Linked DNA regions of Schizosaccharomyces pombe. The protein of the gene in region 2 interacts with the protein of the main gene of each other region in a pairwise test. Each region holds a gene or a part of one and is shown on either strand. Other genes may lie near its edges.

Region 1 (4,418 bases), 350 kb from region 2:
GGGTATACCCTCATGGAATGGTAACCAAAGCTCATCGGTGCGAGGCTCTACATCTTTTGTTGGGTCCAATGGATAAAAAATGCGTACTTTTACGGTTCTTAGTTTGTGTTCAATGGTTTTATATTCACATCGAAATTCCTCTGGAACACTCAGCTCTAAGACTAAAGACCCCACAGGCAAGGGACCACAGTAGGCAGGTAATTGCTTTTTCGAAGAAAATCCCAATCCCATTTCTACCTAACAAATAAGAATGTAATGTAGAAATATATAAATTTATTTTATTTTAAAGAATGAAAGATTGTGTCAAAAACGATTCAATCAAATTACAAGAGCACAGTGATGATGTATTGTTAATTGCTATGATCACTGTAGTAGGAATAGAATGGAATAATGCCAGAAACAAAAACAAAATATCTCTTTCGTTAACAAGCACTTATAAACATAAATAAAAAAAATAAAATTAATAAATTTTTGGCCTTGCAAGGTAATATGAATCTGTCTGCTGCAAATTTTAATTTTTGGTACGATTCGTACGATTGTGGTAGAAGAAGGAAGACGATGGAAATTGACGAGCATCTATATATAAAGTAAGGGGTTATGATGAAAGATGTCCTTTTAGCCGGTTCGTTTTTATAATGTACAAATCAAAGCAATTGACTCAATAATCAACTTTTGGCATAGGAAAAGGGTTACTTGCACAGCAATTCGAGCTTAAACCGCTTCCATTTGGAGGTCCATCTCCTCGGTCAAATTACTATCTTTTGAAGGAGCAACAGGCTCGTTTTTCTCATGAGCATTGGCTATTGACGGTGTGAAATCCTGTGATGAGTGAGATGACACAGTTGAAGCAGCGTGAAATGACATTGCGTATTCGTCAAGTTCTTTGTCTAAATCTTCGTGTGAAATTGAATTATTAGAAGACTTTTTTGAAGAAGAACGAAATGATCTGTCGTCTTTTTTTGAAGAACGGTTGAATCCTCGGTTCGAACGAGAAGACCGGCTTGGTTTGCGGGCTGAATGTGGCATGTCGGAAATCCGATCGAATAAGGAAGGTGGAGACTTTTTCGAAATTTGAATTTCGGAGCCCTTCAAGTTCGTAGATTGAAGCGTCTTCTGGGCATCTTCAGCATCTTGGGAAGTTTCAAAGTAAACATCGCAGGAGCCTTCAGAGCGACCTGCACGATCATAGTTCATAATCACGCGAATTGGATGGAAATTTTCAAACAAAGACTTAAGAAAAGGTTAGTTTATTAATAAAAAAAGCGATTCGAAATCGGAACAAAGCTCTACTTAGCTTGACAGGGAGATTTTTTGTCAGGTTCGTTTCATAATCTTCAATCGAAAACTAAAAGCGAGGCTTTTGAAAACATAGTAAACATATATCACTTACCAAAACATCTTTTTCCAAAACCTGATAATGTAAGTTTTCCACACGAACCCCAAATCGATTTTCTGAGCTAAGATTGCTGTGTTAGTATATAATGATAATAACAGTGCATGTAGACTAAGAGCTAATAGAGTAATAAAAAAGTTTACAGCTTATCTTATAAATTCAAAACATACTGTTGTCTTTTCTGTAGGTGAGTGGTCCTTGGATGAGCATCCTGCTCTTGATCCAAGTCATGCTGCCACGGGCCATCGTCTGGACTAGAGTTGTGTTCTTTTGATGCTCTTTTGAATTTGTAGGTCTTAAAAAGTAAAAAATTAGTAAATAAACACTTAATCCTCGAAATTAGCATACCAATCGCGATTTTTTGGAAATACGATTTTGAGATCCCCTTCGCCGACTGTGCTTGTGATCAAAACCATTCTAGGATTGTTAAAACAAATATCGAAAATAAAAAAATTTACCGTTCTTTCATTTATAATTTCGTCCAAGGACTTTTCCAGCGACATTTGAAAATTGGTACTTGGCACGAAAATGTCGACTGGTAAAAATTAACCCGGGGCATTCCAAAAAGGAGATTTCCATACCAATTGCAGATTTTCCTGACATAAATTAATATATGCACCTCTTTTTTTATTGTTTTTTAGCTCTCCTTATTTTTCATTCATCTTGCACTACGGTCCTAGAAAGTGTATCTTTCGCCAACAACCCATCGTCTTTCTGCAATTGCTGTTTTCCTTACATTTAAACAAATTCTTCTAATTACTTTCTTATTCTTAAAATATTCAATATTCTTTAGTTGATTTAAATTTTTGGGTCCATCTACCAATAGTTTGTTAGACTTTGCCTTCAAACATGAATTTTCGTCCAGAGCAGCAATATATACTTGAAAAGCCTGGTATTCTTCTCTCTTTTGAGCAATTGCGCATTAACTTCAAACACATTTTGCGGCACTTGGAGCATGAATCGCATGTGATCAATTCCACATTGACAACGTTGATCAGTCAAGAGAATGCATCAATGGATGAAAAAATAGAAAAAATAGATTCTCTCCTTTCAAGAGTCAGTACTGTAAAGAAGAAGGTAAGTTTGATTGATTCTTTTTTTGAGTTGGATATTTGTAACTTACATGGTTCTTTGTGTAGATGAAGCATTTGCATGATTGTGAAGCTCTGTTTATCAAGCAAACTAAGTCACGACTGTTGTTCATGAATCGTCTTCAAGGAATTCGTGACATGGAATCTGCGGATTTTTTAGATTGGTCAAGAGTCAGACTGAATCGTTTAGTTGCTGATTATATGATGGCGAATGGGTACCATGGGGCAGCTGCTCTACTTTGTAAAGACTCTCAGTTGGAGAATTTGGTTGATTTAGGCATATATAAGCGTTATCAGCTCATTCACGATTCCATTCTTCAACAGGAGCTCAAAGAGGTTTTGTCTTGGTGTTCGGAGCATCGAGCAATTTTAAAAAAAAATAATAGTACATTAGAGCTTGAGGTCCGACTACAGAGATTTATAGAATTAATAAAAAGTAAAAAACTTTGCCAAGCCATTGCATTCGCCAAAGCGCACTTCGGTACTTGGGCAAATGAACATCCTGCTCGACTACAGCTAGCGGCTGCCCTACTAGCTTTTCCTGAATTTACGAATGGTTCACCATATTCGGTAAGTTTACATTGAGAGACCTCTGCTCTTAGCTTATACTGACAAATTAGTTGCTTCTATCCGATGACCGATGGGAATATTTGGCTTCCTTGTTTACCAGCAATTTTACTGCCGTTCATAATATACCGTCTGTACCTCTTTTACATGCATTGTTAGCTGCTGGTCTATCTTCCCTGAAAACCCCGTTGTGTTATCTTGACGCGAATGATGATAATCCTTTAGCATTACAATCCCAGACTGTGAAACAATGCCCTGTATGTACGCCCTGCTTAAATGACCTTGGCAAAGCTCTTCCTTATGCCCATATTACTCAGTCTGCGATAGTGGATTCTCTGACAGGCGAAGGACTTGACAGCGACAATTGTCCTGTTGCTTTCCCGAACGGTCGAGTTTATGGTATCCAGAGCCTCATAAGTTGGAACGAAGCTAATGGGACTAGAGAAGGATTTCTTAGAGACCCTTATTCTGGCAAAGAGTTTCCATTCCAACTTCTTCGTAAAGTTTATGTGGTTTGATACTGTTTATTCTATAACGCATTTTCTGTGAGTTAAGGATTTACACTTTTTATGATGACGCTACGAGATTTATATGTTTATCTTTAATAATGATAGTAATTTATATTATTAAATTCACTTCCAGTATCCACCTTTACCATAGGTTATCCCTCAATCATGTAAACCCAAAACCTAATTAAATATACCTATATAAGATGCCCCAAAAGGAAAAGCATAAACCGAATATAGTAATCAATATCTTACTTTATTTTCCTTTTTTCACGAGCTACGTGTTCTCGTAAAACTTTTTGCTTTTGAACAAGACTTCGTCCAGCTTTACCTTTTAATTTATGCTTAATCATCATAAAGTTCTTGTTACGTTGTTTTCTTTTGTTAGAAAGACTTGTTGGGTTAAAACCTGCCTTTTTAGATGAAAATTTATCACGTCCTTCACGTCCTTCCATGACACTAGCAATACGGGCTTCTCGGTCGTTCTTAGCCTTTTTTCTAGGACCTTCAATTTCATCAGCCTCAACGGCATCGTCTGGCCTCTTTAAAGAACGCTTAGGTCCATTGACGAGACGATCAACACCCGCTTGCTCCCTAAGCTCTTCCAACTTTTTCAAGTCATTAGGTGTCAAAATAGATTGAGACGCAAGCTCGGTCATTCTATCAACTAGTTCCTTTTGTGAAGAAGATCCTTTCTCATCTGATTCTTTTCTTGCAGTGGCCTTCTCTTCCTCTTCATCGCTGTCACTTAATTCAATATTGTCATCACTATCGACATCGATCCAGCCACCACTATCATCAGAATTCTGTCCATCTTCTGAAACTTCCCAATTATCCCAATCGTCTCCATTTTCTCCTTCT
Region 2 (5,160 bases):
GATTGCAGACAAGATGTCTTAACACTCCAATTAATTGCAATGTTCAAAAATATTTTTAACTCTGTTGGATTAGACGTTTATCTTTTTCCTTATCGAGTTACTGCAACTAATCCGGGCTGTGGTGTTATTGATGTTTTACCAAATTGTATTTCACGCGATATGCTAGGTCGGGAGGCTGTCAATGGATTGTATGACTACTTCCGCACAAAGTTTGGTGATGAAGATTCTATAGCATTCCAAAAAGCCCGTAGTAACTTCGTACAAAGTATGGCCGCTTATTCAGTTATTACATACTTATTGCAATTTAAGGATAGACACAATGGAAATATCATGATTGACGACCAAGGTCATATTTTGCATATTGATTTCGGTTTTATTTTTGACATTGCTCCTGGAGGTATTACCTTTGAGAGTGCACCTTTTAAATTGACAACAGAGATGATCGCTGTTATGGGAGGCAGTAATAAATCGCAGCCATTTCAGTGGTTTCAAGAGCTTTGTGTCAAAGCATTCCTTGCCTGCAGACCTTATGCCCATTATATATGTCAAGCTGTGGAGGTTATGTTGGATTCGGGTCTTCCTTGTTTTAAGGGGCAATTAACTATTACTCATTGCCTGGAGAGATTTGCTTTGAATTTAAATGAACGGCAAGCATCTACATTTATGCTTCATTTGATTGAGCAGAGTTATGCAAACAAACGTACGCTTATGTACGATCAATTCCAGAAGGCCACAAATGGTAAGATGATTTTAAGCAATATAAATGAGCAACTAATTACTAACTTTTTTAAGGTATTCCTTATTAATATAAAACAACCAGCAATAATAATTATTATCCGTTTAAGTACCTTGCAGCTAAGTTTATTAGATCTAATATAACGATCATTCAGTCATAATAGTTTCTTCTGCAATGTCTTTTTTGTATTGTAGTACGATAATTTATCACATTAACTATTGAATAATGAAACGCGTTTACAGGTATCGCATTGTCAAGTATCTGTTGTATATTTTAGCATATGGCAACTCACTCTTGTAAAGGCTTTATGAATGTTAATTTAAAAAAAAAACAACTTCAAATAACTAGGTATGTATTTTTGAGTCATTTGCTGCCTGCCATTTTTTACTAGGATATAAATAAATTATGGTAACTTTCCTTCTAACAAATACGAATATGAAGAAAAGATCAGAAACATTAGGCTCGGATCAATCTAGGTATGAAAGTAAAGGGAAAAATAATTATAAACGTATACTAATTAAATCAGCTCTGAAATAATTGAGCATGTTTTGGAAGAGTTAAACCTCAAAAACATTGAAAGACGCGTCAAAAAGTATGACCAAATTGAAAGCGAATACAAGACCAATATAGAAAATGAGAAAAAGGCTTTTATAAAGGATGTTTCCCAGGTTCAACAGAAAATGTACGAAAATAAAACGGTAATCCTGGCAGTCATTAACATCAAATTATAGAAAGGAATTTGAGATACAAAAAGCGAATCAAATTAAACAATTGAACGAAGAAAAGCTTTCTATAGAAGCTAGAAAACAACAACTCGAAATCGAAATACGCAATCAGTTGTTACAGTATGCCGAGAAACTGCGAATTGTTGTTAAAACCCCAATGAACCAACCAACAAATACAGAAGTATAAAGTCATTTTAAACACATTATATAAACTAGTGCCATAAAATCATAAAACGAATTAAAAATATGTTATGAGCATACAATTTAATTGAAACTTCAAACTTGAGAATTGAAAAAGTAAAGTGAGGCTAATCGTTTCTAAAAATCTAAATCCGTTCTTTTTATTAAACGCTAAAAAATGGGTAGTAAATGAAATGAATAAACACATAAGTTTTCATGGGAATAATTTACATGGAGGTAATGTTATAGTACTCCTGGACAGGCACGCTGGAGCGAAGGAAAGTCTGCAGCTTTTCATCTCCTTTCTGCAATGCATTCCTCTTTGCTTTATTTTCAGATATTAATGCAGCTTTCCTCTTTAAAAGTTCCTGCTTTAAGGTGGAAAGTCGTTGACGTTCTTTCAGTTCGTCTTCAAGAATCGCAAGCATTAGATCATGATCATTCGAACTCTTAAATTCCGGGTGTTCCTTCAAAAATTCTTCTTTTGAGACGAGTGGTAACGCTGTGTATATATGTCTATTAAAATGGTTAGAAAGAAATGAACAAAGACTTTTGAAATCTGAAAAAAAAAAAAAAAAAGGTAAGGAACTTTCACGTACTCCTTTTCTTCGTAATTTTTTATTATCGTTTTTAAATGCAGCTTTTTGTACTGTAACGCCTGAAGCCGTATACGGGCGTTATCGAGTTCAGACTTGTGTTCGGCTGTTATAGTCTTTGCTTGTACGAGCTGTTCGTAAGATTTTCTATTTGCTTCTCGCAAGATTAAGAGCTTTGACATTAACTGTCGTTTAATTTGCTCGGGATTTTGATCGTCGGCATCTCTGCTATGCTGTTTCAACTCATGAATTCGCAAACACAATGTTCGAGTTGAGTCAAGAACGTTCAAACAATCTGATATTGCATTTTCTGTCATTTTTACGACGAAATACTACTCTTTCTTGGAAATTTTGTAGGAGGAGGTTTCCAAATTGTTTAAAAGAGTAGACGTTTGGGCTTAACTCGTCAACTCAGTATAGCTACGCCTTTACTACCATAAAGGTTAACTGACTAAAACTAACTTCTTATAAGTTGAGCCTTGAATTTATTGTATATATTTGAGAGATTTTCGTTGAATGTCTTTTCAATCAGAGTTCTCGTAAAACTATTTTACTAAACATCAAATCACGTTTTTTTTATCCGTTGCATATATTCAACTTCACGGTTCGGTATCATTTTGATTGATACTGTAAACATTTGGAATAAGTGAGTATTTGGCTATTGAAGAGTCGGTAAAAAAAAGTGTGCTTTCAATGAAAATTAATCAAAATACTACTGTTGATTGCGGCAACTTGATTCTCGTGCCATATCAAAAATGCCATGTGTTAAAATACCATAACTGGATGAAAAATGAGGAATTGCAAGAGCTTACTTGTTCAGAGCCTTTAACTCTTGACGAAGAATATCAAATGCAGGCCTCATGGAGTACTGATGAAGATAGTATGTTATGATGGTTCAACATTCGTGATTGATCAATTGCATCACAAGTTCTAATCATTTTCTAACGATATAGAGCTGACGTTTATCGTTTTACTAAACGAAAACGATGAAGCTAAGAAACCTTCAATTTTGGATCATGTAAAAGCCCACAGCGTTGAATCAATGATTGGGGATGTGAACATGTTTTTGACTGAGGAATACGCAGACGGTATAGAAGAATTTGATGATTCTCCCAGTGATGCTAATGCTACCAATGCTACGAAGGAGTCAGAGGTACATATAGTAGGTGAACTTGAATTGATGATTGCAGAGCCTCAGAATAGAAGGAAAGGATATGGAACCAAGATTGTAGATGCATTTTTGCACTATGTTGAATCCAGTGGAATTGCCAAAAATAAGCAAATCCTTAAGTATCGAGTCAAAGTTGGCTCCCAAAACAAGCCTAGTATTCGGCTATTCAAGAAATTGGGCTTCTCTCAAGTTAAGTACAACGCTTATTTTGATCATGTAGAGCTTGAACTAATGAGGACTTCATAAGCGATGCAACAACGCTTAAAGTTATTTACTTGTTTACTTTATGCAAGTGTTACATGCAGCGAACTACTTTAAAAGGGTTTATTAAAAATTGTTTTCTACACAACCCTATGGCTAATTATACCTCTCATCTCGCAACAACAATTATTTACATACAGACCTTTATTTTATAATCGCGAATTGGGTCTGCTTATAAAATTCGTGAACAACTTGGATAATTTCACCGATTTCTACTCTTCGATTTTTACATTACATTACAAAATAATATGAATACAATCTTTATTGATCATTTTACTTTTGAAAAAGAAAATTTTTGTTTTTAACTGAATGCAAAAACCATGAGAGGTTTCTTTTTCATTAATCACTCAACCAGAAACTTTATGCCTTCTTTCCAACCTCAGTAACGGTCAAATCTATAGAAAACTTGTTAGCTTGAGTTCACTTATATGAACGATTAACTCAGAGCTGATCATTTGTTTCACGAATTATCAACGCTTTAGGAAGAATTCCTTCGCAAAATGCTTTAAGGAAATGTAGTTCCCTCAATAAAAAGTAACTGAGTTAATCTTTCTTAGTAGTTTATATAACATACCGGGAGGAAGAGATTGACGGAGCTTCTCAGCCTTCTTGGCGTCAGCGACAACCAAGGTATACAAGTACTTGGAACAACGAAGCTTGAACTTAACGTCCTTGTTAGTGTTCTTCTTGATGCGGGCAGAAGTAGCATCCTTTCTGCGAGCGATCTCCAAGAATTGCTTAATGTCACTGATTTGACGAGGCTAAAACATGCATTAGTCGATGGTCATTCCTAACACTGAATATATTTTACAGAGACAACTTTAACGAACGAAAGATGAAAACAGTTTTCTCTTCCATAAGCTGCTGAAACCTCTACTTATCTCACTTACCATTTTGTTGAGCTTGGTGAAAGACCAAGAATTCATTCTTTCCAGTTTATCAAAATTTCTGTGACTGTGTTTTACAACTCGAATGGTTTGTAACTCGTTAAAAAGAAATTACGAGCTCTTAATCAGCCGGTATTCGCTCAAGGGGATTAACACTATCCTTCACTATACTGCTTGAATGGGCGTTAGATTGAAGTTCGTTTTTTAAATTGCTTAGCTCAGGTATATACTAAGTGTACGTGATAATAAAATTAAAAAAAAATAGAATAAGAGATGGTCAATATTTATATCTTAATCTATAGTTAATACTTTAATTTTTCCATGCATAATGTTTTTGGAAATTGATAGATGAAGTGTAACAACAAAGAAATGTTTTCAATAGATTTACATATCCATTTGCTATATCTTTTACATCTTTCTATTAGGATCAAACGACTTTATGCTCTTCGTTTTTGAAAACTATATTACATCAATTGCGAAAAAATAGATTTTTACAATAAAATGCTTTCATCCTATCCAAATGTGGATCAAGGCTCTATCTGTCTGTCTACAAAGTATTAACAACATAGCAGCATTCTTGTGAATTATAAAGATAAAGCATACT

What was found. The genes of interacting proteins can lie anywhere in the genome.
Region 1: the proteins of tho5 (region 2) and tho4 interact in a two-hybrid assay, tested with the Schizosaccharomyces pombe proteins (one study listed by BioGRID).

Annotation. Positions count from the first base shown.
Region 1 is NC_003423.3:400,454-404,871, forward strand, and holds tho4 (THO complex subunit), read right to left. Parts: upstream 1,913-4,418; 5' UTR 1,897-1,912; coding exon 1,852-1,896; intron 1,811-1,851; coding exon 1,742-1,810; intron 1,689-1,741; coding exon 1,564-1,688; intron 1,547-1,563; exon of another isoform or gene 1,458-1,546; coding exon 1,391-1,457; exon of another isoform or gene 1,231-1,390; coding exon 712-1,230; 3' UTR 501-711; downstream 1-500. Other genes in the region: plg7 (1-alkyl-2-acetylglycerophosphocholine esterase), read right to left, coding at 1-231; gid9 (ubiquitin ligase complex subunit), read left to right, coding at 2,243-2,470, 2,533-3,054, 3,105-3,569; SDA1 family protein, read right to left, coding at 3,809-4,418.
Region 2 is NC_003423.3:754,054-759,213, reverse strand, and holds tho5 (THOC5-like protein), read right to left. Parts: upstream 2,638-5,160; 5' UTR 2,555-2,637; coding exon 2,241-2,554; intron 2,158-2,240; coding exon 1,869-2,157; 3' UTR 1,649-1,868; coding exon of another isoform or gene 1,468-1,648; 3' UTR 1,419-1,467; coding exon of another isoform or gene 1,263-1,418; 3' UTR 1,213-1,262; downstream 1-1,212. Other genes in the region: 1-phosphatidylinositol 4-kinase Stt4, read left to right, coding at 1-739, 793-806; meiotic recombination protein Rec27, read left to right, coding at 1,172-1,212, 1,263-1,418, 1,468-1,648; SPOM_SPBC577.03C (GCN5-related N-acetyltransferase), read left to right, coding at 2,931-3,117, 3,191-3,654; rpl3801 (60S ribosomal protein eL38), read right to left, coding at 4,030-4,064, 4,244-4,430, 4,560-4,562. UniProt on the Schizosaccharomyces pombe protein: Component the THO subcomplex of the TREX complex, which operates in coupling transcription elongation to mRNA export. The THO complex is recruited to transcribed genes and moves along the gene with the elongating polymerase during transcription.